4 linked regions of the Caenorhabditis elegans genome follow. The protein of the gene in region 2 interacts with the protein of the main gene of each other region in a pairwise test. Each region holds a gene or a part of one and is shown on either strand. Other genes may lie near its edges. The genes, in order: hlh-27, unc-130, fozi-1 and dmd-8.

Region 1 (7,060 bases), 5.7 Mb from region 2:
GACTTGGTTGATGAGTATGAGGCGTTTCAGTTGCAGTCAAAAGTAAGTAATTACATTTTAAAACTTCCATCCAGTTAAAAAAAAGCGTAGATCCACTAATAGTTTTAAACGCACGACAAATTTCCGATTGGTCTCTTTAGAGTTACCAGACTTATAAAAGCTTCCAAAAAAAATTTCAAGACGAAAAGTTTCTGGATATATTATCTACCAGAAACTCGTGCCGTTTGAACAAAGAAGTACCAATAAATAAATACGTTAGTTTCAGAATTTATACATACATCTCCAAAATATAGGAACTATCGCATAGTTTACAAATGCAGTCTACTTAACGTTGTATGAATTTTAATTATGCCTCCTTTTTAATAATTCTTAAACGGAAATCCTTTAGTGAGCCTATGTAAGTGACAATGTTTTCTAACAAACATTCATAGGACAATTAGTTCGTTTATTTTGCTCTACCGGATAACCCCAGCAGAGCGGTTCCAAAAGTTAAAGTTGTTTGACACTCTCTTTCGAAAGGTCAGAACTCCAGCGTACCTTGAGTAACTGGGTTAAAACCGACTAACACTGCGAGACGTCCCGTCTCATGCAAGTGTGTGTACCGACCGCTTTCGAGGCAAGCGAGTAACAGCAAGAGAGTGTCTGTTGTAGAGATACAGACTACGAAAGTGTGTCTTTTGTGGTGCAGGGGAGAATAAATGGAATGTACGAGGCAGAGCTCTCCTTAGGTTGCTGGTTCGAGTCTCAAGCAGTAGCGTCTTTTGTGTTTTTTTTTATTAATTAGTAAAACATTTTTCGAGTAATTTATTATATACTTTATCAGGATATGCATTATTGATATACTCAAAAGAATACCACCGTTTGTCAAAGTAAAACAATATTATTATTAGAGGAAAAATTGGGTGAAAAATTTGTTATTAATTATTTAACAAATGGCTCAAACACGACGGAAGTTGAAAAACAAAAGTTTGCTAGTTTTTTTAAATAGAAAAACTTCAAGAAATAAATGGAAAACTAACTTACATATAGTGTCAGAGAAGAAATTGAAAGTTTTACCTGACGTCAAACTCGAGATTTGTTGCATCTGAGTATGAAAGAAGATTGTAAATCTGTAAAATTCTGCTGAAAAAAATATTGAAAACATTTTCTAAACAAATTTAAATATTTTTTTAAACCAAACATGCTCAGACAGGTGCGAGTCACGGCTAACCGACTCAAAATCACTGCTAATTAGCAAAACGCCAAAAAACCAGAACTAATTAGCTTAAAACCATGGCTAATTAGCAAACCATTGCTAATTAGCAAAAAACCAGAGCTAGCCAGGTTGACTCTATCCCTGGTCAAAAAGCTAATTAGCAGTGATTTTGAGTCGGTTAGCCGTGACTCGCACCTGTCTGAGTGTACGAATTGATTATCAAAGTCATCCCTTCAAGAGGGATTCTCTTGTTCAATTAGTGAATGAAAAAAAAACGAAAAGTCCTGTAGCTAAAAGGAAAAACTGAGAGAAAAATGTGTGCATTGACGATTTTTATGAGTATTACAGATGTCGTCAATTTAATGTTGGAAAACGTAAATGCAAAACAGAAAGAGACAAATGAACTGTTTTTTTTTAAATGATTTTCAATTGTTTTTAAGAGAAATAGTAGCGATAATTGTTGGTCAGTAACAGTCAAAACATGACTCATTTTTTTGTCGAAATGGTTTATCAATTTTCGTGGAAGCCCCTTGTGGTCGGATCAATCAGACTAAAGCTGCGATTTTTATAGATCTTGTTATCTCTATTAACAATTGCGATTTTTAAGTTACTTCAGAGTAACCAAAACGAGTTCAGGTTATTTTAAAAATAATGGATGGCGTAAAACAAAATTTTTAGAACCACTTTTTGAACCTAACAAAGTATTGGAAGTATTACCAACAAAAAAAGTTTCAGAACTCATTTCCCTAAAACAAAGGACAAAAACATTCAGGCCAAAGGCAACCCTGTATACAGAAATAAGACAGAAATTATCATCGTTGCAACGGGGGGAGACAACAAAAAATCAGAATTGAGAAAGAGCCATGCACCATGAGTCAGGGATTTTTCGTTATTAATAGTTTTTGATAAAATTTGTCCCTTTTTGTTGAAGCTGAGGAGGCTTATTGATTTGAAAGTTTGTTCACATAACCTTTTAGTTGGCAATTGGTACACTTTGGAACACTGAAAACGGAAATATCAGTTTCAGTGATTTTGATTGAAATTGAATACTAATTTCCTCACCAATTACATTCAATCACTTGACTTGACTTCGCTATTAATTTATTGCTCATAGTTTCAGATCTTACCTTCACATCTGCTACAAAATGGACCGCAGAAAGCTTCAAAAAGAGGCAAGAAGTGAAATGAAAAAGGTGAGTATTTCAATCTCGTTCTGAAATTCAACTCATCTTTTATATTCAGACCGCCAATGGCGTCGACCGTGCCACATATAACCGAGCAAAGGCTCTTTTGGAGATAATCCGGAAGGTTAGAAATATACATTTATTCGTCATCACATTACATTTCTAGAATGCCTAGGACCGTTTCAAGACATCTGTGAGAATTATGGAAACCCGCCTTCAGGAAGAGATTGCCACAAATGATCTGGCTTCCTCCACGATCTCCAAGGTGAGTCATGATAATTTTGACTCGGCAAGTTTCCAAAAATTGTCTTCCGTCGTTGTACGATGAAATTTATGGCTTAATATATTAAAGAATAAAAAATAAAAAATTGTAATTTGGGAGACAGATGTGAGTATATTTAAGGTCATAGCTACTGCCATAGGATTACTGTAGCCAATATTCCAGTAGCTGAACTATTCCACGGGCAATCTCCGTTGTTATCATGATACTGTATGATAATTGTAATAAAACTAAAAATCGTTTCTGAGATCATGAGCGAAGATCAAATGAATTTATTGGCGGGTTATTATAAGGCTACTGTCGTGATACTGTAGTGATACTGTTGCCGAAATTCATATCATTGGAGCAAACAGGGAACACAATTTATATTATAAATCGTCCTATCAACTTTCAAACTTATGTCGTTTCAGTCACGCCATGCCATTTTTGCGTCCATAATCGAAGAGCTCAAATCAATTTCCTCTCACTTTTGCATTCCAGCTCTTCCAATATGATTGTTCTCCATATTTATTCTGTTGACCACTGTCAATTCAAAATAGATATCTTCTTATATAAAAATTATGTTCGAAGAAACTGTTGCAAATCAATCTTGTTTAGAATTACTGGCAAAATAATTTCAGTTGTTTTCTCCTATTTTATTTCTTTTCGAGATATTTCTGTTTAAAATGTTGTTCATCCGGTACAGTTGATACTACTATAAACTTATAGAATAAATTAACACAGTGCCAATATCCTAATTCACAGTCTCAGCCGGAATTTCCCAGGCAGTACCCAATCGATATCCAGTCGTCTAGTTTCGCATGGTCCCAAGACAAAACTGGAGATGTCCAGCCTCGTTCTCATGAGAACCTCACTGATGAACCATGGGAACCCATGATGGGGACTGTAAAAATAGAGATTTCAGAATAATTCCCATGGCTCCAAACGCTTGATACAAAGCTCCACCCTCTGAACAATAATGGAACTATAAAAGGTAACCATTTATTCATTGTTCATTTACTTTCTTGGTGGATCACTGGTCTGCTGGTTTAGTATACTTTTTGATAATTGTAACATCAGGAAAGTGTACTGATTTTGATCAATTACTTTTAAAGCATTCAGTGAACTGTATACTTCTAGAAAAACAGCACGAGTTATCTCACTAAACTAAATCAATTTGTGCTGCTTTCTTGGTCTCATTTTTCTGTTTTGTCACAATTATTCCTTTTATTTAACGGCTCATCTTGAAATTTTATAAATTCTAGATTTCTTCTTGATTTTAAAAAGATTAAAACTTATCAAATTTCAGATGCCAAAAGTTATCCCATCTTCAATGAGCGATTATCGTTCCGTCCCATACAATCAAACTCCAAAATCAGGATCTGAACGGAAAAGAAGAAATATTACAAACGAGTTGATTAACGAATGCAAGACGATTGTTCAAAAATCAGAAGAAGAACATATATCGTAAGTTTAAATACTCTGTTAGCTTAAAATAGTTATTAAACTAATTCATTTTTTAGACAAGAAGTAGTTCTCTTCCGAATTGTGAAACTTGTGACTGGAGTTAATCTGGAATCTAATTTCTCATCGAATGACCTCTCCGAATCTACAAGACGGAAGTTTGATACTGAATCCGAAAGAAGAAAAGTGAAGACTGAACGTGAAAAGATTCGAAGAAAGAAACAAGATGACTGTTATGCTGAATTGAAATTCTTCATTTTGAACAAACAAATGGGAAGTTACGAGCAACGGTAAGAGTTTCATTATGGCTAATAAAAATTCAAAAAATTATTTTCAGATTAAAACTTGAACGGATCACAATTCTAGAAATCATCATTGATTACATTAAACACAATTCCGATCTTCTGTATCCAGAAACAATTCCCCAAATACTTCCTCTTTTAGCTGGAAAATCAACTGCTACTTGTGAGAACAAAGAGAATGAAAAGCCAAAAACACGAATGGAAGTGAAGGATCTCTTCCCAAGATTGACGTTTCAAGAAGTTCAAGAATCCCCAACATCTACTTCTCCATTGCTCACATTTCCATGTATTCCAATGATCCCAACTACTCAGTTCAATGTCTTGTCAAACTACAACACCGTTCCATCAATATTTTCTGCTCCCCTCCGATTCATTCTTCCATCACTTCAAATCTTAACACCAGAAACTAGTGACGAGGAAGAAAATGAAGAAACCGTCGATATTAGTAACTAGTCTATCAAGTTCTTCCAGATCTTACAATTAGTTTCTGAGCAATTTTTCGAAAATCTTCATTGTCTATATTGCGTTTTTGATTCATTTTTTTATCTTTCTATGGCCAATATTCCCGAACTTTTTCATCCCATCGCGTCGCAATCTATTTTTGAAGATTTTTTACTACTCACGTGATAGTCTTGTCTAAATTATTCTGTTTGAAAATGAATGTTTATTCGGTAAAATTTGTTAGCCAGAATACAAGCAAGACAAGTATGTATAATCAAAGTTCCATTAGTCCACACCAAATTCCATCTCCCAGTCATACGGAAACTCTTCAATGTCCTTGTCTAGCATCACTTTTTGCAGTGTTGTATAGATCATCTCATAATCGGGCTCCTTGAAGAACGAAAGACTGTCGATATAGCTGGAAATGGAAAATTACGAATAAATCAGCTTTGGTAGAGACTCACTTCATAATCAAGCGAAATTCATCTGGGCAGCCAGCAAGGAATTGGCCCATGATCGGTTGGAAGCGGGAATTCTTCTTCATCGCACCAATCTCGCCAATCTCATTTACATTTTTCCAGGGAAGAGCTGCATTGGTGAAATCGACGAGCATGTAGAACCTAGAAAAACACATTTTCTCAAATAAAAACTATTATTCTTATTTTCAATTCTAAGTGATAACCCAATCTGGCCTTCTGGCATCTTTACAGAATATATCACATAAATGACTAGTTCTTAAATTGATTAAACTAGCCAGCTTTCCAAATCGTCCTTCAGTCCATGTTCCGCCGTATTATGTGATGCAAGCGGTGCATATCGAGGGCTTCCACGAAATGGCACAGTTTTTCTTGGCTCGAGCATCAAATTTTCGCGATCTACATACTTTCGGCAACATCCGAATCTAAGAACAAAAATGTTGCGAAGCTCGCCTTGGCTTGCTCTTCCGAGATAGAAGTTGCCAGGGTTCACATCTCTGTCCAAGAACCCACTCCAATGCAAATCTTCCAATGCTTCCAAGCATTGAAACGATGCCCCAATCGCAGAGCCCAAATGTCAAATGACCATCAGGCCCAGTCTTTATAGCATCTTGCAGGGATTTCCCAAGAAGCTTCATGACAATATAGTTAAAGTTGTCATGGCGTCCCTTGTCTGAAAGATGGGGTTACGGTTACCTACAAAAGTGTACTACATACCAATGAGAGTAGGCATGTGGCTGGGCGACTTCTCAGATACCTTTGTCATCACACAAAGCTCAATTCTCAGCGACTAAAAATAACATTTTCTGCTTAATGGTTCGACAGTATTAACTCACATATATCTCCTTGGTATTCAACTGAGCCTTCAAAACATGCTCCTCTCCAGCATCATCTCGCACAGCATACACTGCTCCGAATTCACCATCTTCAAGTTTCTTGAAAACCTTGTAACGACGAACTCTATAGTCAATACTTAGCTGAATAACGGGAGCCTCCGTCATCTCGTGACGAGAATAGATTTGAAAATAAATTATTTATGGATTTTCGGAAAATATTGATCTTGTCGTTGACGAACTTTTTTAAACACAACGTTATCACATCTTTGAAGTCCACGTTCAAAAAAAGTTTTTCTTGTTTTTTTCTGCAATAAAATTAACTTCATAAACTAGAAAAGGAGATTTTCAAAAATCCGGACTGTTGATTCAAAATTATTTCAAATTGTTTTTATTCTGATATATATATATATATATATAATATAAATTAACACAATTCTAATATCCCCTTTACATTCTCAACCAAAATTTCCTATAAAAAGGGGAAACTCACGCCCATAACATGGCCAAATAATTGTTTGTCCATCTACGGGTCTCGCAGCGAAAATCAAAGTTTATTCGGTGTTTTTTATTTATCTTTTTTTTTTGGGAAATTATGAAACTAATTTTTGTTAAAATGATTGCAATTTCCAAAAAAATCAAAATTTCAAATTAAAAAGCTCGAAAAAATAGTTTAAAACTGAACTCCCACTACAAACTGCCCAGCGGAATTTGGAGTCTCGTTTGGCCACGCCCACTCGGTTCCTTGAACTTTAAGTTAATTCAACTTTCTACAGAACATTTTTAGATTTTTTTTCAATTTTGTATTCAAAAATTACACTCAAAAACAAGAGAATTCTATAAAATTGTGAAAAATGAAAAAAAAAAATTCAAACAAACAATTTTTGTCAACTTTTTCAGAAAATT
Region 2 (7,611 bases):
TATAATCTAAAAATTGTTGGAGTGATCAATTTTGAGTTTACGTAACTCATATAACTTTCTGTACACACCTGACAATCAGTCAAAACCCGGCTCTAATATTTTGGTCAATTATCTTGTCTTTTTCTTATTGGGTCTTACCACGATGCATATCATTTTGAGATTTAGTATTTCACCCCATTGTTCAACTTTGACATTTTATATCTCAGTTGTCGTTTGTTCCACACAAAAATTGTCAACTTACAAAATATTTGTTATTTCTTTTTTTAAATCATTTCCTAGTTGATAATTTATTTATATCTTCAAAATAAACAAAGATATAACCTATCAAATAAAGTAGTCAAGTGCAGTACAAATAGAGAATATACGGTGGGTGAATCTCTTGAATCTTCTTCAAAAAAACTGAAAGTGAGTGGTATCTCTTGAACAACTCATCCTAGATCATCCCCAATTTTTCCAGCTGACTAACCATACGTTCAACATCTACCCAGATTTAAATCTAAATACATACACATTGTTTCTCACTTGTTTTAAACAAGTCCTACAAGACGCGTGTCACACTTGTTGCCTGAGATTCTTGTCACTTCTCTGAGCACTCTCCCCATCATCTCATCATTTTTTTCGCTTTGCAAAGTCCAGCGGAAATCAGTTTTAGAAGAAATGTCGTTTGCAAGTTTTACCTGATCCCCCAATAACAAGTGCAATAACAATAAACTAGTGTTTGGGGGGGATGGGCAGTTCCCTACCCAAATTTATAGCCAATCTCCATTGATTACCGCTATCATTCTGTCCTGAAATAATGCGTCTCATTCAATAGGGGGTAATTGCAAATGGCAATGAAATTGGGTTTGAACTTTTGCTACTCAAACATGGGTGATTTTGAACATTTTACTGAAAACTGATCCTAGAGTGGTTAACCTGATTTCTGAGTTCTTTCAATTCTAAAAATAATAAAAAATAACTCAAGATTTTGGTTTTGTGAAAAAAATATAAAAACACGTGAAAAACTTGTTTGTAGTCATTTTGCAAAAAAAAAAGTTGGTTTTTGAGCACAATGTTCAACAAGCTTTGGGTGTAGGTAGGTATGAGGTAGGCCTGTCCATTAGGAAAGTATCAGTGTTCATTACGTCTACGCCGATGTTATATGGCACCTGCCGATTTGATCAGGGCTTGAATATTAGAAGCTAATTTTGTACTTTTTGTCTAAAATGGTTCTAATTATTTATTAAAATACCTTGGGTAGAATATCGAAGAGCCCAACTGGTCTCATGTCTCGCCGGAAAACGCGTCCTTTAGTTACTTGCGATCATATTTTTATGCTATTCGAGTTCCTTTTATGCTATTCGAGAGCTATTCGAGGAGCTACTCTTCTATTTTGGCTCTGATTATTTTTTGTCACTGTTAGAATTTCTATAGGCACGACTGACGACCGCTTTTTTCCCGGAAAACGCCCCACGTAAATTTGCACGCATACTTTTGGTTGGGAGCCAGTGGGGCGAGGATCCTCCCCTTCACGTAACACCTCAGTCTTCCGAGTAGGAACAAAATCGCAAAACTTTCGTGGTAAGACCACCGGCACCCCATAAACATTTATTAAGTAACACACACACAATTAATGCGTTCCTTCCCACTGCCAATCTTCTTATCAGAAAGATGAAATGACCGTCTCAACCGAGCCTGTGTGTCTATTTGTGTGTGGCCTTTGTAATAGTTACCACCTAGCTGATAACCGAGAAAGTTGGATTACCTCATGATTCCCTCATAAATTTGCCGACAGGTTCTTTAACGAAAACATATTTGTCTTTTGATTGTCTATTCTCTATTTACAAATTGATAATTGGGAGAATGCCACCCAGAATTAGTCGATTTAAAATTGAGTATGATCTACATAGATCTGAGTAGTGGTTGATCACAATGATATAATTATTATATATTAGTATCATTTTCTCTTTCTCTCTCTCTCTAAATTCACCCTGTCATCAGTGATGATTCTCAGTTTCGAGCGGCGGAGGGGCGAGCGTGTGGGCGGAGCCGCGTGTCCAATGAGCGTGGGGCGGGGCGGTCCAATTACCGGTGTTTTCTTTCGTTTATTCGCTTTTTGTGACTATGACACCAAAACGGAAGAATCAGTGGATCAGGCAAAAATATTATTATTAGAACTAATAGTTGGATTTAGGTTGGGTATCATTCTGTACCTATTTCACCTGATTTCTTGTGCTTCACTTGATCTTTGTCTTTATTATTATTGTTATTATTGTTGTTGTGCTCCTTGTTGTGCTCCTTATAAATCCCGTAAACTCTAAATCTAAATTGTTATCTAATACTTTTTATTGGTTACCAATAATATTACTTCTGCCAAAAGAGGCAAAACGCCGCGTTTCAAAAAATGAAAATTTTTATCTGTTGTTCATCACTGTCAAATTTATGATTATTAATATTTCTCACCATTCAAATTAAAACTTTTGCTTCAAAACTACATAAAACATTCAAAAACTTGAAACAAATTTTATTCGATTTTTGCAAGTTTTTTATTTAAAAAAAATTATACCGTATTTTCCCTAGCATTCATTTTGCTCATATCTCGGTTGTCCCAAGTTTTATCAAAAAAATTTTAACTGTCATAATGTAGAAAAATAATTTTTCCATAGTTTGTAAGTTGACAATTTTTTGATAGAACCAGAGAGAATCGAGATATAAGCTGTCAAAGAAGAGCAAGGTGCATGCAAGTCAAATAGGAAAATAGTGGGTTTTCCGGTTTACAAATTCGCATAGTTTTGAATTTTTTACAGAGTTTTCACCATTTTAGAGAATTGCTCACATTTTCTGAATTTTTTTTTCAAAAAATTAACTGGTACCTAAATTGAAATTTAAATATTTTGAGCAGAAGAGGTGAAACTCTTTTTTTAAATTTTTTAATTGCTTCTCATATTGATACTATTCTCTTTTTGTGCCAAAACTTCTAATCAATGCCCCGCTCCTTTCAAATCCTAAAGTTCCACTTAAAAACTGAAGAATCAAAAATCTTGAAACCTGTACTGTATGTACTCTTCCAAAAAACCACCTCCGTGCTTTTCATCATTTACAACTTGTCTCCCAGTCCTCGTCCGCAACTTGCTTTTGATATATTTTTTTCGACTTCTTCATTTCAACACATACCTACACACACAAAAAAAGTTTGCGCTAACACATGTCCGCCCGTCATAAATCTACAGTAATCTCGGAGCTTTCTTTCTCTCTCCTGATGCTCCCACACCACTCTGTCATTTTTCAATTGTTCTTCTCTTGGAAGCTCATCTCTCGTTTTCATTTGATCCTGCTAGAAGACACTTGATATGTTGTTTGTGTTAACTAAGATAACTGATATTGTTGAAAGTGATAGCTTTGCTTTGCTTTTCAACTTTTCGTGTTCCTCCTGCTCTTTTTTTTGACAGCTTACTAGTACCGAGTTCGGACCCCTGCATAGTACTACAAATATTATATTAATATGAGAATGATATACCCTTATTATCCCCCCACGTACTCTTGAGAATCATTAGTATGTTTCAATGTTTCGCCAACAATGGATTGGTATCATCTGCCCTTACCTACCGTACTCCCTCAAGTGCTCCCTCATCCATGATTACCGTACTCCCCTACTCTCCTCCCCCTTCTATCCGATTATAACATTTTTATTAATAATTATTATTGTCTGGTGTCTCGCGATGCCATCTCTATCTTACGATTTCGCTTTGAATTTTGATAACGCTATGAAAATATTAGCTTTTCTTATCTTTTTTATGTTTTACTTTTTTTCATAATTTTTTCATCAACTTACTTGCAGAAACTAACTAGGTAGACACCGGTAACAATGCTCTTTTCCATGGAATCAATTCTATCAAGTACCAAGCCAAAACTGGAGCCACCTCCGAAGCTAGAGCCGGAAGTGACAATCAATGAGCAAGTGGTTGATCTGCCGCGGAGCAACACACGGCTCTCCGAGCCATCAACTTCTGCGTCGGTTCTTGAACATGATTTGAAGTTTGGGGAGTCCCGAAAAAGAAGTCGGTCTCTTGGAGACGAGCCCACGGAAGATGAAGACGGCGTTCCAGTTCGGAAGGCAAACAAAAGAAATCATTCAACTTCAAGTGCTGCAGATAGCTCATCTGATGATGCGAAGGATGATGACGACGATGATGATTCTACATCGTAAGTTGGGAACTTGGGAAAAACTTAGGAATCTTAGAAGAAATTCGATTTTTCTCGACCTCGACCTTTTAGGTCCTTTTATACAAAAAGTTTGTATGCTCAATTTTTGTGAAACTTTGATCTCCGATATTTTTAAGTCTATTAGACATTGTTCAACTACCGTATTTTCCCTGTATGACTTGCATTCTCTTTACTCTAACTTGACGGTTTATATCTCGGTTGTCCTAAATCTTACCAAAAAAGTTTAACTGTAAAAATGTAGAGATATATTTACATGCATTTTGTCAGTTGACAATTTTTGATGAGACCAATAAAAACCTAGATATTGGCTGTCAAAGTAGAGAAATAGGTAGAGCAATATACCTATAATATGTACAGTGATATGTACAATAATATGTACTGTGTAAAACAACTGTAACTCTATAATTTTGCAGTCGAAAATCAATGTCTGGTCACCGAAAGAGCAGTCACGCAAAGCCACCGTACTCCTACATTGCACTCATCGCGATGTCAATTCTCAATTCACCGGAGAAGAAACTGACACTTTCGGAAATTTGCGAGTTCATAATCAATAAGTTCGAGTATTACAAGGAGAAGTTCCCCGCCTGGCAGAACTCGATTCGTCACAACCTAAGCCTCAACGACTGTTTTGTGAAGGTGGCTCGGGGGCCTGGGAATCCGGGAAAAGGAAACTATTGGGCGCTGGATCCGAACTGTGAGGATATGTTCGACAATGGATCGTTTCTGCGCAGAAGGAAGAGGTAAGGGGAGCACAGGAGAAAGTATTACAACCTGACGGGGAGTAGTAGCCGGCGGCGGGGTGAGCACACATACGAGATGTGAAGAGAGGGAAAAGACAGTTGTTTCGATAATTTGTCACCAATTTGTTGTCATTAATCGCACCCTCGAGGGTAGTGGAGAAGCCTGGGAAAAGAAAACTTTCGGGGTTAACAAGGGAATTAGTGAGATAAATTTTCAATTCAAACACTTAATAATTTCAGATACAAGAAAAACAGTGACACATATCACGAAATGATGTCCCATCATCCGATGCCATTCCCTCCATTCCTCCCGCAAGGAATGCCCTTTCCTCCAAGAATGATGCACCCGATGGCTAACATTCCCATGCTGGGACATCCAATGAATCCAAGAGCAGTTCCAAACATGCCAGCGTTCTTCATTCCACAAAATATTGATAGCCAGAAGCTCTTGTCAATGATGGCTTCGAGAATAATGCCAATGGATGCTCCAGTCAGCTCTGGCCAGAAGAGAACTTCATCGAGCTCCTCACCAAATGAGAATGGATCTTCGGCAGTTTCAGATAAACTGAGCGCTTAGAAGAACACTCAATTTCCTTGTTTAATTTTTAACAATTGTTTCCTATTTGCTTAACCTTTTCTAGTCTCTTGTTCCTTTTCCGTTCCCCTTCAATTCCTTTCAGCATTCTTCATTTCCCCTGATCTCAATCGTGCAATCAATAATCAATTTTTTGTTAATCCTCCTGCACGTGGTACCACAACTTCATTTCTTCAACTGATCTTCCCTTTTCTTTTTTTTCTTTGTTTCATTATCTGTGAAAGAGCTTATGTCGTAAATAATTCGAAAATATATATGTCCATCGTCAGCATTTTTGAAGTTAAAATCACATTAATCAATTGAGCAAACAGTAAGATGAAAGGAGACCGCAGAAGCTGCTGAGCCGATTAAAAGACTGAAATTGATAAGGGAGGGAAGTGACAAGACTGCTGCAGAGTTACTAGTCTGCAAAATGTCATGAATCCAACAAAAAATCAGGGTTCAGAAGACTAGGTTTTTAGTAGAAAACATACCGAATTTTTCAATTAGTCTTGCACCAAATTTGCTCTACTTTGGCAGCTCATATCTCGGTTGTCTTCAATTTTAACAAAACATTTTCAACTGTAAAATCATAGAAACATATATGAAAAATATTTCTACTGTTGAAATTTTCGTGATAAAACCAAAAGCAGCCGAGATAAGAGATCTGAAAGTAGAGCAGAAGGGGTGCAGTACTAATAGGAAAAGTACCGTAACTTACCTTTTCCTAACTTTTCTAAATTAGATGGATATATAACTGGACGCGAATATTAGCCACAGACAGAGTTCCTCAGCCTCCAAGAGTCCTCATTTTTCCATATAACCTGGCTCCTTTGGACTAGATAGAATTTCTAAAAAGACGACCTATGCCTACTTTTCTGTGAATAAAAACCATTAAAACCATAATTTAAATCAACATAAAGCTACTTGTTGTTTGGGCAAATAATGATACTAACAATTAAATGAACATTTTGAAAACTATGCTAAGATTATTCAAATGTTATCCTAATTACCAAAACCCTAGTTTAACTCGGTGACTTTTTGAACTCCCGCCAAACCATATAATTATCTCAAGCATGTCGTCTTCATTTCTATCCTAATTAGATACCCATACATAGTGTATATATGTATATTCAAACTATACAAAACGGATATTGCTTATCAAATTCATTCATCAGTTTGCCACGTCAAATCAAATTATCGAGAAGTGTGTGTGGGGGTGCAGTTTCACCTTATGCCACCTCATGTTTCGTTTGACGGCACATGGTGACAGGCCCGATGAGATTTTGAACCGTTTAATTGATACTAATCGGTATCTTAGGTTGTATTAATGTAATTACAAATACCGTATTTTTTAATGGTATGCACCTAACTAGTTAGAGTTATCAATTGTATTGGACCAACGAAAAAAGCCGATACAAGCTTTCAAAGTCAAACAATTGGGTGTAATGCTAATAGAAAAAATAAGATAGTTAGGAAAAAGGTGTTGCCAAAATATAGGAGCCTCTGCTACAGTAACCCGTGTTTAAAAGTGCCAATATCCTAATTATCTCATACAATGCAAAACTCTCCATCACCACCTGCAACTACTCCGCTCATATACAAAACAAGGATTATTTCAAGTAGGTTGAGCATAAAGATGTGAGTACGATAAGTACCGGACAATAGCCAGCCAAAAAAGGCTAACCGCCAAGAGTATTTCCATACAAAATGTGCGTCGGCTAATCCGCAAATTATAAGGTGCGACATACACAAGTCGTCGAGGTGGCGCAACTTAAAGATTCATCTGATACTGGGCAGTGAGAGAGCGTGTGAAGTGTTATAGACGCAGACGCCAAGGACATGGAGTAAGTGAGCAGATTGTTATGCAACCGAGCATTTGAATACCATCTTGTTAGGTAATGGACCCATCGAGACATATATACATACATAAACTTGTAACACCTTCTGTTGGCAAGGGTGAACACATAAAATTTGTGTCTGTGTTTGTGGAGGACATTTGGGGGTAATCAGTAGCAGAACAAGGAGTTAGTGGGGAGGAAAGTGATCGGGTAGCACAATTTGTTATCAGTTTTGATACAGTACACTCGTTTT
Region 3 (8,222 bases), on a different chromosome or scaffold from region 2:
CTGAAAATACACTTAATGCGTCTTCTCCCTCCTTGTCATGTTGTTTTCGCTCTTCATCCCCGCTCCTGTTGTGAAGAGACACGGATGAATATGTTGCCTTTCTGTCTAAGAGACGCGGATAAGTGAAGCCAAAAACGAAGAAACTATGCCATTACTATGTATTACTGTATAAAGGGCTGGTTCTTTTTGCTTATTTTCAGAAAAAGAAGCAACATGATGTTGCCATCGTATGTTCGCTTTTAAGTGGCGGAAAAAGGAGAAATTGGTTTGCGAATGCGTAGATAACACATTCAAAACACAGATAGTTCATGAAGCATTTCAAAATGTTCGGGTCTGACATTGAACAATTATAGGTTTCACTTATTCACTAAGGAATTTCACGCATAAGTTCAAATGGAAAGGAAATGAGTATTGATACTTTTTTTATGAAGTACGGAATTTCCTAGGTTGATGTAATCGGAAATAACTTTTTGCTTCGGGGTTAGTTTTAAAGAATCATATGTTTGATCTACTACAGTGCCAGCTATTTTTTTCCAAAATTTTGCTTTTTGTGATTTCACAATTTTTCGAATAGTCCTAACTCTAAACATCTTACAGCTTAATCTACGTCTTTGCAATGATTTGGAAACATTTTTTGGAGGGAACAACATCGCAGTTTTGTAATTTTCTGAAACATTATTTAAAGTTCAGATGGGTCCCGCCACGAGAAAGACATTTATGACAAAAACTTTTGATTGTTGGTGGCCACTTTTTGGTGCCCAAAAGACTGTAGACTATACATTTTTTCGCCGAAAGACCCAGACTAGTAAATTTAATTTTAAAAAATCTTCAGAAAAATTCAAAATTTCCTGAGAAAAAAATCCGGAATTAAATTTTCCCTAAACCTAAGTCCACTCAGTGTTCCACTTTTTTTTTTCAAATTTCGAATTATACAGTAATCCAAGTGCATCATGCGGGCACTCGTTAGTTCCTCCCAAAAAGTTTGTTTAATCGTTCCGCTAAAGTTTTTTCCAAAACACTCGGCACATGGTCATCGCCCAGCGCCGACAATTTATGCCGTTTCGTGTTCGCCGCCTGTATGAGAACACAGTTGTCAAATGCTCATTTTAGAGTACGGTAGCTTTCCAGATTCCATACGTATCTATTTCTCATTACCATCTGATTTTAATCCGTCTTTTCGTGTAATTCACACGGATAACAAACAAACTTATACAAACAAAAAATAAGCTCAATGGGTGGGATAGAAGAAGGGGGAGAGAAGTGGTCTGCGTCTCGTGAAAGTGAACAATGATTGCGTGAAGTTCAAACCAGATGTGGATATGTGTCTAGGATTTTGGAGATTTTCAGAACTAGAATTTAGGTTTTAGGCTGACTTTTTCGAGATTACAATGAATGGTTTATTTTCTTGAGATTTTTGTGGGTAGCACTACCTTGGAATACCGTATTATCCCTGCCAGACTTGAAACATTTTCAGTGTCTTTCAACATACCAGAAAAAAGCTAAAGCTTGCGCTATGAGTTTTCTTGATTTAAAACTTTAAAAATAAGAACTTTCACCTTTTGAAATTATTTACATTTCTTCGAAAGAATCGGACTTCTACAGACTACAGTTTTCAAATTTATTTTCCGAAAATTTTCCCACTGTTTTCTTAGTTTCTCTAGAATCTTTACCTGCTCAAAGTTCACACCTATTCATTTTTGTTTTCCCGTTTGTTGTTTTTTTTTTCATTCACCTTTTCTTTTTCCCCCATTCATCGAGCTTTTTTTGGTGTCTGTCATCGAGTCCATGGGCTTAGCGAGGCTTGAAGATGAGCGCGCGCAACTTTTCGCGTTGATTGTCGCATTATTCCCCCGCGATCCCATTTTGCTCTTCTCATCGCAACAGCAGCAGGCTCACACGTCGTTATAGTCTCCTGTTTGTTTCGCAAAAAAGGACTTGGCGTCCCCGAGAAGAAAACGATACGCAAACACATATATAGATTGCAAGCAAGAGTGAGAGGTGTGTGCAAGCTTAACTCGGAACACAACGGGAGCCACCTCTCGACCTTGTATGGGAGAAGAGTCAATGCGCCTGGAGGTTGAGAAAAGAAAACAATGATCTTGATCCAAAATGATCTCGATTTCTTTTTTGAGCATTTCCAAACATCCAGAGAGCTCATACCGTAACTTCCTACTATTTTTAACATCAAAGCTCTATATGCTATAAGATTATGAAAAATGTGATTGAAAAATGGAGATTTTGAGAACATCCAGGGATCATCCAATGGTGGTTTACAACTTTTGATAGCTTATTTTATCCATTATAATATCCAGATTTTTCACAATTTGTCACTTGTTATAGTAGCTTTGTGACAGATTTTTATTTTATTTTTGCTTGAAATGCTCTCCACAGGGTGGTTTTTTTCGCTGTTCTCTGTATTTGAACAATTTTTTAAGATTTTTTCAGTTTTATTTCAGCTAGAAAAGTTTAGAGTAAATAGGCTACGGTATAAAAAATAGGTTACGGTAGAAAAACAAAATCTTCGTAAATTGTTTAGATTTTTTGAAATTTTCAGTTGACGATTAGGTAAAATGGTAAAAAAGAAATGTTCAAATGAAAATATTTTTAAAAAAATTTGAATTTCAAAAATTTGTTGCAGAAGTTTAGAGCGTTCATGTAGGCGCCAAAACGTCATTTCTTAATTTAAAAAAAAGTTCAGAAAAATGCGCGAAGATGGTGTGAGGAAGCCAGTTTTCAGGCAGGCGCCATGTTTTGAAACCGAGCCTGCCTTGTATAGAAGCAATGCAGAAATGAACATTTTCATGTTCAACATCTGAAATTATGAGTGATTGCAAAAAAAACCATTTTAAAACATTTTTTGAAAAGTTTACTTGGCTCTAAATTTAAAACTTTTGTTTTTCAGAAACCTAAATCTTCAATGTTAGAAGCTACCGTAACCCTTCTCCCCCGTTTTCAAAAAATCTCATCTCTCCTTAATTTGTATTTTCAGAGCATCCTACAACCTCTTCTCCAACGTGCTCCAGCCAACTGACCACTTCACTCTCTGAAACCGTTCGCAATCAGCGGAAGACGCTGGTGGGGATTCGTCTCCGGCCGCCTGCGCCTGTACACACAATGACATAGACACAAAGAAAAGGTGAGGAGTGTGATCGTATTGAGAAATGTGCGAAAACGGGAGTAGGAGCTCCTGTGCTCAACCTTCTTATTCTCTTTATTTGACATATCGAGAGCATAGAGATGGACACCCCCTTAGAGCCACATTTGGACTTAGGCCAACGCCTGTGGTAGATTTGAAATTTCTAGTTTCTTGTTATGTTGTTTTCTTGTTTTGCTTTTCACCTTCTGAAGCTTCAGAAGCTTCTTTTGCCATCATCAACCCAATTACTATAAAGTAACAGAAACTTTCGCTGATGCTTCTCTTTCCTTCGTTTTTCTGGTACAAGTATCCGCCATCGAATGAAAAAATCTTGTTTTTAGCCCTCCCTAGTGTTCGTTGATGTTTCTTTTGTACATATATCCGTCGCTCTCTCCACCTCCATCTACTTCGATGGCAGTTGTTTTGGTGCAGGCACCAGGGGCGCAAAGGTGAAAGTGACGAAAGAGGCGTGGCAACCAGGAAAGAGTGGACCCTTAGTTTCCCAACGATTCGCCGCTTTCCCTCCATTTTCTCTAAACTTTCTCAGCTTTTCGGCTTTATCGACAGCTTCGTTCACCGTTCTCGATCATTTTTCTCACCTGAATTTTCAAAACTTTTGTCTTTTTTCCATGGAATACTTTTACATTTTCTATATGTAGTTTCATTTGTTCCAAAAAAATAAGTATTTTCTGGATAATAGGTTTCTGTATCTAAGTTTACGGTAGGTGCAAGTAACTTTGCGTAAAAATTGAAAATTAAAATGATTACTCAACTTTTTGAATACCATATTTCTCTAAAAAAGACTTGTCTTAGACCTTGCTCAACTTTGACAGTTTTGGCTCCAAATGGTTTCATCAAACAACTGTCAATTGACAAAATACGTGCAAAATATTTTTTCTATATTTTGATAGTGGAACATTTTTTGATAAAAACCTAAGAAAATCGAGATATAAGCCACTCAAATTATAACATTTTTTAGAAGCTAGAAAACGTAATTTTCAGTTTTACCTTGTCCCCCTGAAAGTTCATGAATTTCAATTTAATTATTTTTTTCCAAAAACCGCATCGTGCCAAAGATTTTCATTTTAAGCTTTATCCTAGATCCACCCGACCAGATTACCATAAGTTGAACTTGTTTTGTTTGTTGAGTTTTTATTCCAGCAAAATCGCACCGTATCTCATCTCTGATTTGTTATTCCCATTGTTTTCTGGTGGAGGTTTCGTATTCGAAATTTTTTTTTTAATTTTTAACGGCAATTTTGAATGTATTTTTCAAATGTTAACGAAGAGTTTTTTCGATAGTGTTACTGGATCTTTGATAAGCATATGATCTTCTTAGCTTTATCGTCTGATTTAAGTCCAGTAAAAAAATAATCTAGAAAAAGTTGAGCAGGTTTTATGACTGTTTTTGTGAGGAATTGTAGATTTGATTGAACATTTTTATAATCTAAAATTATTTTTAACTCAAACTTCAAAAAGCACTTCAAAAATGCAACGAGTATGATGGATGGAAGTCAACCACAAAAAAACATATTTTTTAGATTTCTAAAACTGAAGGCTCTAATTTTTTAAACATTAAGTTTCTAGTAACAAAGTCAAAATTTACTCTGCTATTTCGTACTAGCTACTTCCTCATTTCGAATTTTCAACTTTGACCTCATGGACATATCCACGTGTCGACACAATTTCTAATCGGCTAAGCTCCTACTTAGTCAGTTTTCATCGCGACTAATATTTAACAACGATGGCCTTATCCTATTCAGTTAAGCCTTGGATTCAAAAATTTTGAAAATCTCATACGAAATTGAAAACCTATCAACGTATCAAGTTGGTGTCGGGTCTTCTATATTTTTTTTGGTTAAAAAGAAGATTGAAGCCCTTTAAATTTTATCCAGCTTCATCGAAGATTTCACAAATTTCAATGAAATTATTCTTCAAAAATCATCGAGTCTCCTCCCTTCTTCCCCCACTTTTTCGACATTAACTTCCCATTTTTTGAGAGGTCATCAAACTTTTAATGATCTCTCGAGTCGTCCATCAACTTTCACTCATTTCACAGTTGTTTTACGGCTCATAACTCCGCGAATCTCGCACCCATATAAACTCTCATTTTGCTTGATAATTTCACACTCAGTTGCAATGAGTACTGTAGTCTTTATGAAGTCTAAACTTAAAATTTTCACGCCAAAATAATGTGAGAATTTTAAATTTTCTAACCATGATTGAGAGAAATTTCCAAAAAGTTACTGTATTTCCTTACATTACTTCACTTTGAAAAGTTACATTTCGGTTTATTTTGAAGATTTCAAATTTTCGTACTATTCCTTTAAAAAAACATAAATAATAAAATTTATGAAGTATCTCATTGGTTTCACTGCTTCATATTTCTGGGAAATAAAATATTTCTATTGACCTAAACTATCTTAAAATTATCTATATTCCAATTTAATACTATGTACTTTCCATCTCACCCATCTACCGAGTTAACTGCAAAATTTTTCAAAAGTTATGAAACTAATTATTCCTCCGGCAAACAAATGTGCCTATCACACGCTCTATTCATACCATATTAACTTGCTAATCAACTACTTTTGTGTTGTTAATCACTGACACATATGTAAATTTCATCCTCCAATATCTCGCTCCTATTGTTCCTCCTGTTTTTGAATCATGGTGGTGCTGCCAACTCAGCTCCACTTAGGGGCGGCGCCTGATGTCCAATTGGGCTCTGCCGGCTTTTGCTACCAACTCATTACTTTTACACCTACGGTACCTATTTTTTGTGTTTTTCAGGATACCTCTCAACTATTCATCAGCTTCATCTAGTCATCTTCTTTTACCTGTAAGTAGTGAACAAAACAAAAACTCGAAGATCCAATGTTTTGCCTCCTTGTAATAACTAATTCAAAAGTTAAATTGGAGGCCCCTTCTCTTCGAATAACTTATTCTCAAGATGTGAACACTCGCCCATTTTCAAAAACATGATTAATATTTCTCGGTAATACGATACTTGTCTCTATATTTTTTTCTAAAATGCGCATCTTCCTTATACGTCTAAACAAGAAGAAAAAAACCGAAAAACAATTATTGTTTTTGAAAAATGAAATAGAATTTGAAGGAGGTAGCCGTCCAACTTCTGACTATTTGGAGCTAGGGGCGTCAGTTGGTGAGCTCACACCAGGCGCCGTGCCTTGGTAAAATTTGAAATGGTGTAAAATCACACACGTTGGCAACATCTCTATTGCGCATTCAGTGTAAATTTAGCAACTGTGCAGGGAGAGTTGTGTATAGGACTTTGGCAATATGTGTTTGGGTGAGCCTAAGCCTATCCCTAAGCTTAATCCTAAACCTGCACCTAAGCATAAGCTTAAGCTAAGCCTAACCCTAAGCCTAATCCTAAACCTAAGCCTAAGCCTTAGCTGAAAAAAGTCTTTCAACTTCTTTTAAAATCTCAAATCCCCATATTTCCTTTTTTTTTTGTTCAATCAATTGGCAACTTCTCTCAAGTTTAGTCAGAATCTGTGACGCGTCCGCCTTCTGAATACAAACTGGGGAGTAGAGCATGACTAGTATTGTAGTTACTCCATGAATCTTTCGTTTTTCTGACTGATTGTCAATCACGCCTAGTAATGTATCTTTGCTTCATGAAAAAGCTCACATTTTTGTTCATTTTGTCGTGATTGTTTTGTTGCTTGGACAACTGTTTCTACATTATTGGTTTGAACTACAGATGTAGCTGTTGAGTTGACTTAAAAAATATATGTACTGTATAATTTTTGAAGAGTTTGATTTTTATTACTGTTGAAAGTTGCTTAAGCTTTGAAAAAATCAGTTCCCCAAGAAAACGTCTTACATTCTTAAGCCATTTTTGTCATCATTTAAATTTCTGAATATCAAACCTTCATAACAATCCTCAATTCATTTCGCTACAAATTACTGTTATTCTGCCAACTCTCAAAATCACTTATTGACGTGTGGGTCCGACTCCAAAATTCTCGATAAAAAATTGTATTTCTTATTTGTCGCAATTCTCCCTGCCAATCGTCAAGTTGTACAACTCAGTGCCATTCATTTCATTTCACTTTTTTTCAGATCCCTTTTCCATTGCAACAAACACATCAAACTGAAGCAGCCACCGTTCACACTGTAAGTATATGGAAATTGGAAAAAGTAGAGCCAACTCCCCTTACTTCGAGAATTGTATAGCCTAGTACATTGTACAAAGTCAGTTCCAATTTGAATGCTTATTTCAATGGAACTGCCGCCGCCGCGTGCGCCAGTTTTAAGGAAAGAAATTGTACATTTTATGTCTAGTTTTTTTCTCAGTTGAATAAATCTACAGTAACCCGAGTAGGATAGCCTTGAGATCCGTTATTATCATGCATGTGGCCATTGTCATTATTATTATAATCATTATGAATAAATAATGAGGCACATGCGCCTCTGGATTACTGTAAACATAGTTTTATAATTATATTCGCTGTACAGGCATTTTTTGCAATTTTTGTATGAAACCTACTGCTCTACTTTGACGCTGATATCTCGGCTGTATTAACTTTTATCAAATTAATTTGAAAAATCAAACACCAGAGAAATAATTTAGCACGATTTTTTTAGTTGGCGATTTTTTGAGAAAATCGACGAAAACTGAGATATTAGCTATCAAAGCTAAGAGATCTAATAGGATCCATACGGGTATAGGTTAATCAAAGAAACTTTTGAAAACAACTTTTTTCCAAACAAATTTGAAATTATTCAAATTGCAATTTTTTATTTTTAAAGTTTTTTTTGGCATGCTCTAAGACCTCATATATTTCTTTCGGTTAGTAGCGACGGCTACGTGGCAGTTGAGACTAAGCAATGTGCCCGGTTAGTCGCTACTAAGTCATGATGAGCACGTGTTAGATGAAGCTTAGCCGACATTGATCTTCGAAATTTTACTGATTGCCGTCTCATCCTGCGACGCGCTTTGTTCGGTTGTTTCCAGCACGGATCGAGGTCAGAAACCGATTGACACAGGAGAATGGCAGAGGGTAAAGTTAAAGTTCAGCTGCTTAATGCTTTGTAAATAAGAAAAGGCGTTTTT
Region 4 (7,932 bases), on a different chromosome or scaffold from region 2:
TCACAAAACGGTCACAAATTGCTCGTTATTTTTTTCGTGATTTGCTAATTTCAAAAGTGGCACAGAAAGTTCTATTATCAAATTATTTTCAGTTTTTCTCGATAAAAAAACAACTTGTGTTCCGTATAGGCCTAGTTGTCAGCCTGCAAGCCGGCCTTCGTCTGACGCAACTTTCAGATAGGCGCCAATACAAGATCGTATATGTTTTAAAAGTTTCATGAAAAATATTCATTACTGCAAAAGGTTCAAAATACATTGCCTACCAACCTACCTACCAACCTGAAATTCCAAAGCAGGCACCGGCAGGAAAGTAGGCTGGTTGAAAAGCTGGTAACTGGTAGAAAAATAACAGATTTTCGGAAATATTTCTTACATTTCTTATTTTTATTAATTCTTAAAATATAAATATTTTTTGAAAATTTAAAAATAAGTCAAAAATAAATATTTTGAGCATCCGTCTATCTTTTTTATACCTAATTTTAAAACCGTGACAATAATGTCAATTTGTCCGGAAAAAATTGACATTTTCCAAAATTTTGATAGGAAAAAACCCGCATTTTGTGTGAAAAATTCCATAATCAACAATTTTCGATAAGGATACATAGAGAAGAAGGGAAATTTTATAACACCAAAAAACAAATTTGCAGAACCTGAGCATTTGGCGTGCTAGCCTAAGATTGCCTACTGCCACCACACCCTGAAGGCGCGTAGGTAGGCAGGCACGCAGGCATGATGTCGTGGCGAGCACCGAACAATAAAAAACCAAAGTAAATCCAATTAAAGTTACTCAAACGTAATTTATTTTATACTACCTGACTTCCTCACGTCATCTCAAAAATCACAAGCTCTATGTGATTCTCAAAACCGGCATTCCATTTTTCTTTTACGAAGACGATACTAAAAACATTTTTTATTGATAAAGCTGATAAGAAACTTATGAAATCACTAGTACCGGCTCGAGTCGTTAACAAGAACATTTTCTCGGGTGACTCAGGATTCAGGTTGGGCACTGAAACATTGATAAGCAATAGAATTTGATATGACGTCTCGAGGGCACGATCGTGACATGACTTCTTTCTTTATTTGTGATTTGTGAAGACAACGAGAACTTCTAGGAAGCAGCCGACACTTTACAGTTCGCTTTTTATAAGAGATTTTTTGAAGAGATACAAAAAAACAGGTCATGTTAACCGAAACAAAATTTCTAATTTTTTAAAGATTTATTTTAAATTTTTCAAAAATTGAAAAAAATCTGATTGTGAGATTTCACTGGTAAATGAATTTTTCGGCCATTTTTTTCAAATTTTCAACCATTGTCATTAAAGGAAACTTGACAGGCCGAAAGGAATTGGGTGAAACTCTAAAACTGGCCTGAACTTAACATTAATTTTTTTGCTGTAAAATGCATGCAAATTTGACAGATCACGTCTCAAATAAAAAATCAAAAAAAGTGAAACTGCTCAATTTAGCCGGAAAGCTTATTTTTGGAATAGCAAAATTTGAAAAAAAATTACAAAAAATTCTACAAAATATATATTTGAATTTTAACATTTAGTTTTTTTTTAATATATGGGATTGCTTCCTGACGTTTTATGCAAAAAAGGCCGTGAAATTTCTAAATCCAAGCTTAATTCCAGATATGGTGGCTGAAAATTCGGAAAATTCTCTGTAAAAACCGTGACTTTATAATTCAATTTCTAGTCGAGTCATAAATTGATAAGAGTACAATTTTATTAATTTATCACTTTTGCAGAATCAAAAAAAAGTTTTTGGAAATATAAAACACAAAAACATCAAAATATTATTATCATCATGTTTGAACTGAAAACCCGCACAGCTTAAAATTTCGATGGGGTTTTTACTCTTTTTGAGGTGCAACTGGGAAGGAACTAGAGTTTTACAGGGAAAAGACAATAAATCACAGATTGGAAATTGTTTTTTTTTTTGAAAAATTAAAAAGAAAAATCAATCGGTTTCAGCGCAGCTAATTGCAGCGCTAAGCTCACGGATATTCTGAAAATTTTGAAAGTTCTGGAACAACATTTGCATTCCGATAGGGGTCATCAGGAGAGGATTCGGGAAAAGAGTTGGAGCAGCTCCGTACATAAGCGGAGCCGTGAAAAATGGTGAGGCCGCGGTGGACATGAGAGAGGGTACGGTAAGAAATGAAAGCGGTAGGCTTGATGGAGCAAGTTGTGGAAGAGCAATTGGTGAATGCGGAAGGAGAAGCGGCATTGGAGATGTTGTCTGAAAAAAATTTAATTTAGAAATTTTAGAAATTCTGGAAAAAACCTTTTAGAGCAGTTTTTAGGACGAGACTAGTGCATGCCTACATGCCTACATACCTACATGCCTACATGCCTACATGCCTACATGCCTACATGCCTACATGCCTACATGCCTACATGCCTACAGGTTTACATACATACATGCCTACATGCCTACATGCCTACATGCCCACATGCCTTTTCAGGTTCAAGCTGTACCTGAAAAAATTTTCAGAAAATCTGAACCTCACCTCAAATGGAGAACCAGCCGGACTAGTGCTTGCATTTGCCGAAGTCGCTGCAGGAATCATAAATCCCCCGGCACTGAAGTCGAATTTCATCTGAACCTGCGGAGCCATGTTCAACTTCTCTGATAGCATTCCAGATAGCGAGCAATCCGAGGATGAAGCCGACTCGTCCGAATTGCAGCCCGAAGAAGATGAGAGTGACGATGATGAAGCCGTGGTGGAGCCCTCTTTTTTGGGACTTTTCGGTGCGATAGCTTCAACCGTGTTGCCCTTTATGCTCATTTTTCGCTTCTTAATATGCCGGTCCAGGGCACGACGGGAATCAATCAAGTTACACTGTTGGCATTCGCAGCTGGAATATTGGCACTCCTTTTTGTGATTTTTCTTCCAGACGAGCACATTGTGATTCTTGCATTTTTGGCAGAAATAGCACATGTTCATGTTCTCCATGACAGCTTTTTCATCTGCCTCCCCACCTGTGAAGCCTGGGAACACGTTGGCCTCGCTGATATCATTGGTACGCTGAAACACGGGGATAGTTAGGAAAATTAGGAAAAAAATCACAAGGTACCTGGAACTTCTTGTCTTGCTCTCGTCGGAGACGAATCTGAGTTGACATGATCTCCCGTCGCTTACGGACCAAGTCACACTGCTCACACTCGCAACTTCTATATTCGCAGGTGTGCCCGCGCGTCTCTACGAAAACTCCATGCTGCTTGCACATTCCACAGTGCCGTTTCACATCTGAAAATTTAACAAAAAATAAAACTATGTTAGGCGTAGGCCATACTAATTTCTGAAAAAAAATCAGCAGCCGACAGTTAACCAACCATACATTTTTCTACTGACCCTTTCTCGTGAAACCAATTAACTGTCGGCTGCTAAGAAGCTATAGCTCACCTTTCGGGATCCTTTTCCCTTGGCTGAAAAATCTCTGTGCTCCAACATCCGGGGAGAGGCTGTTGTTTGGTGAAAGCCCTTCTGGAGCACTGAGCGATGAGGCATTTGAAGAAGATGACAGGGAAGATGAGGACATGATCAGGTAAGTCTGAAATTTTCCATTTTTCAAGAGTTGGAAAAGTTGAAGCACAAAATGAAATTGTGAGGGCTACAAGATAAGGGATGCTTGAGCTTGATGACCTGATTGGCTGAAATTTTATAGACACTGCGTCAATGGAATATTTACAGTACTTTCAGTCACTTGTCTGAAAAAAAATCTTGTGACATGTTTTACTAGTCGCCTGATAAGGCCCTGGGGGCTATATAGACGATGCTTTCAGAGAAATTTTCAGGGAAAGCATAAGCAAAACAGGAAGTTGTAGAGGCTTGGGCGCGTGACCGAAGTTTTTCTAGTTTTCTTCGGCCACCAAAAATTTCCCTTATCTACAGTAACCTAGCTCCCCTTGGAGCAAAAAAGCTATCGAAATGAATTCACAAATGAAATGGAATCGAAATAAATAAATAAAATTTCATCCGCCTTTCCCATCTTCAATCCAGGAATGAAAGATTTTCTGTATCTGCCGGCTCCGCCTCTTTCTTGAATATCCCTGATTGCTGTCTAACCATGTCTAACGTCTCCGCCATCCCTCCCCACTCATTCGAGAAAATTCGCCGTAAACATTCTATTTTGGCTCTGCGGAGCTATGACGGAATTCTCATGTCGATGGGGGAAATTACGTAGATTCGCAGTTTGCGTAGATAAGGAGGGGCAATCCGGTCGGGGTTTTACGCGGATCAGTATGGAGCAACTGAGCAGTTGGACTAAAAGCCGATTTATTTCATTTTGTTCACAAAAAGGTGGTGCTCATCTCGTTTTGAAAACACTCGAATTTTTTAAAACTTGAAAAACTTGCTGGCCGACGCCTATGACATATGCCTATGACCTCCACCTATGGCCAACGCCTATGGCCTACGCCTACTGCCTACGCCTATGACCCACGCCTACTGCCTACGCCTATGACCTACACTTATGGCTAATGGCCTACGCCTATGGTCTACGCCTACGAAACCTTGGAAAATTCAAAGTTGAGCAAGCTGAAAATCATTGCAAAATGTTTCATAACAACCACAAAAAAACACTAAAACTAAAAAGATTTTCAGAAGTTTCAACAAATCGGATGACAAATTGTGTCGAAAATCAATCGCTCAGAGTGGTTTCAAATTTTGTGTGGAAAATATAAGAAAATCTGTAGCGGATTTTGACGATTGCTAATCTTTTTCTCGCATTGCTTAGCCCTTGTGTTTGAATTATTAGGCGATTTAAATCCATTTCTGTGATTGCCTTTATCATGCTTTTTTTGTTTTGAATGATTTTTTTTCTTTTTCTAAATAATGGAATAATTTTTTAAAATGTTTTTTCTAAACAATGAAATTCGATCTAAATTTGAAAAGGAGCCTGGCAAGCAAGCCCGAAAGCCTCGTTCACCGACTCCAATGCACCAAATTTTACACGCAAGGTTAAAAAAAAATTCTGTACCGTCCTCGATCACTGTCGGCTGCACAAAAAAAACATTTTTTCCAGTAAAAAAAATGTTTAAAAAAACTATACTAAAACATGTAGGAACTAGTTGTTTTATACTAGTTTATGCTCATTTGGGAAATGCTCATTTCTGATCGACAAGTTTTGTTTTTTTGCCACCGTCTAGACGCTCTACCGTAATCTTTGAAGAATTCTTGCTCCCACCGGGGAAATCTATATTTTGTCACGTGGAATAGGGGTAATAGGAAAACATAGAATGCAACAAGATTTCTTGGAGGTAGGTAGAAAGCCTGAAAAAAATCAACCCATAAGAAAAATTCTTGGAAAAAATTAATGAAGTTACATTTTTTTATTTTCCAAAAAAAACCTGCACTCCTAAAAATAACCATACCTAGTGACATTGGTTTTGACACCAATAACGTCAAAATTCAATCTGCTTATCATTTTTGATAGCTCCAAGCCACGTTGTTCGAAAGTACCTGGATAAGCACCGGCTTGACTCGGTCAAGTCAAATTTTTGCGTCACTGGATAAGATGGTTCAAAATGCGATGCTGGCCAATGCTATTCATAAAAATTTCAAAAGTTTTGAGAGATCACTGGTTTTCCTGAGTTTTCATGTAGAAGATGCAGTCGGGCCAGCTAAGAAATTGTTAAAAACCACTCCTATTGTGTAAAATGACAAAATACCAAAATAAAAATTTTCAAAACAATTTTAAAAAAATTTATGGACAGTCAAAAAAAGCAATTATTGAGTTTTGCCCCATATATTTGACTCATAAGTAGACTAAAAAAGCTCGAAGAAATTTATTTTTACTTTTAAAATTTGATTTTCGAAAAAGTGGCAAAAATTGTGATATTGCCAGTTTTCAAAAAAACAACTCTATATTTAATTTTTTTTAACATTTAAAAACATACATATTGTTTTTAGAAATTTTTTCTAACTTTAGACTTATATGTATTATATGTACACGTTTCTGATCGCTTGTCCAAAATTGTTCTAGACACCGCGAGACACTACTGGTCCCCCGTGATTTGGGTACGTTTCACAAAACATGATTGTCTGGAGGGTTACTGACATGATTCCTGTTTTGACAAACATTTTTGAAAAAAATCAATTTTTGGTGGTTTTTATTCAAATTTGAAAGTAAAAAAACACTAAAGTTATGAGAAATTTAGTTTTTATAAAAATGAAACATTTTAAGTTCAAATAATTTTTTTTCGGAAAAAAAGTTGAAACCCCCTAATTTAAAAAATTTTATTCAAAAAAATTAAAACTTTTAATTTGAATTTTTGCAAGATTTTTTAAAATAAAATTTTGAGTTTCCTTAAAAAATCAAACTTGTCGTTCAATTTCAAAATTTGTGCAATTTTTTCCGCCAATTTTTTTTTCTGAAATATTAAATGCTGATTTTCTCGAAAAAATAGCCACGGGAATTTAATTTCTGAATTTTTTGTAAAAAGTTTAATTCCTTACTAAAGTTGTTTTAAAAATTTAAATTTAATTTTCCTGTCGAAATTTTGAAAAATTAGAATTTGAATGGTCTCGCAGCGAACTCTCGAAAAATTTAATAGTGAGGCAAAATTGAACATGGGCATACTGATTAATAACAAAAATCAAAAGCCCAAATTTCACCTGCCAAAATTATATTTATTTTTTGGGTTTCCACAGTTTTAAGAAAAAAAATGTGTGTAGTATGATGGTATTGAGAATTTTATATATCTGTCAAAACAATATATATATCAACAAAAAAAGAACCACAGAACTAGAAATGAATCGAAATAAATAAATATTCGAATTCTCAAAAATATTATGTTTCCATCATTTATCTGGAGGCTAATCCGTACTTCTGTGGCGTTTTCTGACGTTTTTCGAATTTTTCTGACGTAATTTTTAGCTCAGCAACCAGTAAACTTCTAAAATGTTCAGTTACAAAGATAATCCTTAGAGGTCTTGACTCAATCTGTTTGCCCCATGTCGTCCCTCAACAGCCCTTACGGTTATGAATACTGCGGCCGACACCTTGCGGGTCACAGTGGCGGCGCAACCCGGGAAACGTCGGCCGCTACAGTACCCCACCAAAGTTTTCAACCTTCACTTTGTCCCCATCATCTTTTGACACAGCTGTGTGATCACCGAAAAAACTTCGCAACATAGTTTTCCCGCCCGTTTACCTAGGTCGACCTATTGGTGAAAAGGGGGTGGGGGTGTCGAATTTCAAGTTGAAAATTATCCTCGCTATTCGGAAACCTCCCTCTAAAGTGTGACGGGGTATGTGTATGTATACATGTATCCCTATTGTAACACTCACACTTTTGACGTAATCGAAACGCCGCGCTTTTTTTGCTCGTGTTATTTACTTGAAAAGTTTTCTTGTTCGGCGGCTTTGAGAGGGCGAACGTTTGGAAAGGTTAAAGGTTGATGGGGATACTGTAGCTAGGGGATCAGGAGTATTGGTCGCTATCAATCTATTTTCAGAATTGCGTGCCTAGATGCATAGTTGCCTAGATGCCTAGATGACTGGATGCCTAAGAGCCTATATGCCTACATGCCTACATGCCTACATGCCTACATGCCTACATGCCTACATGCCTACATGCCTACATGTCTGCATACATTCCTACTTGCTTCGGGAAAGTTATAAACATTTTATGGCTGCGTAAGAATTGATGGAAGAATTGCTTCCTAATTTTGAATTTGCAAAAAAAATAAATTATTCGAAGCTTCAATCAATCACCAAAAACATAACGAAATATTGGAGTGTTGTAGAGCGAAATTTAAAATTTTTCGTTTAAGATTAAGAGATCACAGTAGATAAATGTGTGCAACGAAACAGAAAATAACAAGCAAGAAAAAAAACGAAAAGTTTCACAATGAAAAAGCGCTAGAGGAGGTAGAAGGGGTACTGAATGAAATTCGATAGGCGTGTAGAGGTAGAA

Evidence for each region.
Region 1: the proteins of unc-130 (region 2) and hlh-27 interact in a two-hybrid assay, tested with the Caenorhabditis elegans proteins (one large-scale study listed by BioGRID).
Region 3: the proteins of unc-130 (region 2) and fozi-1 interact in a two-hybrid assay, tested with the Caenorhabditis elegans proteins (one large-scale study listed by BioGRID).
Region 4: the proteins of unc-130 (region 2) and dmd-8 interact in a two-hybrid assay, tested with the Caenorhabditis elegans proteins (one large-scale study listed by BioGRID).

Annotation. Positions count from the first base shown.
Region 1 is NC_003280.10:5,537,097-5,544,156, reverse strand, and holds hlh-27 (BHLH domain-containing protein), read left to right. Parts: upstream 1-3,943; 5' UTR 3,944-3,947; coding exon 3,948-4,105; intron 4,106-4,161; coding exon 4,162-4,392; intron 4,393-4,439; coding exon 4,440-4,857; 3' UTR 4,858-5,082; downstream 5,083-7,060. Other genes in the region: C17C3.24 (uncharacterized protein), read left to right, coding at 2,582-2,644, 3,070-3,153; C17C3.11 (Protein kinase domain-containing protein), read right to left, coding at 5,747-5,994, 6,039-6,111, 6,158-6,322.
Region 2 is NC_003280.10:11,278,151-11,285,761, forward strand, and holds unc-130 (Forkhead box protein unc-130), read left to right. Parts: upstream 1-3,815; 5' UTR 3,816-3,844; coding exon 3,845-4,182; intron 4,183-4,616; coding exon 4,617-4,943; intron 4,944-5,183; coding exon 5,184-5,520; 3' UTR 5,521-5,809; downstream 5,810-7,611. UniProt on the Caenorhabditis elegans protein: Probable transcription factor. Binds to DNA sequence motif 5'-CTGTTTCA-3'.
Region 3 is NC_003281.10:9,278,798-9,287,019, forward strand, and holds the start of fozi-1 (Formin-homology and zinc finger domains protein 1), read left to right. Parts: upstream 1-2,983; 5' UTR 2,984-3,136; intron 3,137-8,222. UniProt on the Caenorhabditis elegans protein: Acts redundantly with hlh-1 to promote body wall muscle cell and coelomocyte specification in postembryonic mesoderm progenitors, probably through suppression of sem-2.
Region 4 is NC_003283.11:332,888-340,819, forward strand, and holds dmd-8 (DM domain-containing protein), read right to left. Parts: upstream 3,564-7,932; 5' UTR 3,552-3,563; coding exon 3,416-3,551; intron 3,260-3,415; coding exon 3,087-3,259; intron 3,038-3,086; coding exon 2,519-3,037; intron 2,248-2,518; coding exon 1,966-2,247; 3' UTR 1,714-1,965; downstream 1-1,713.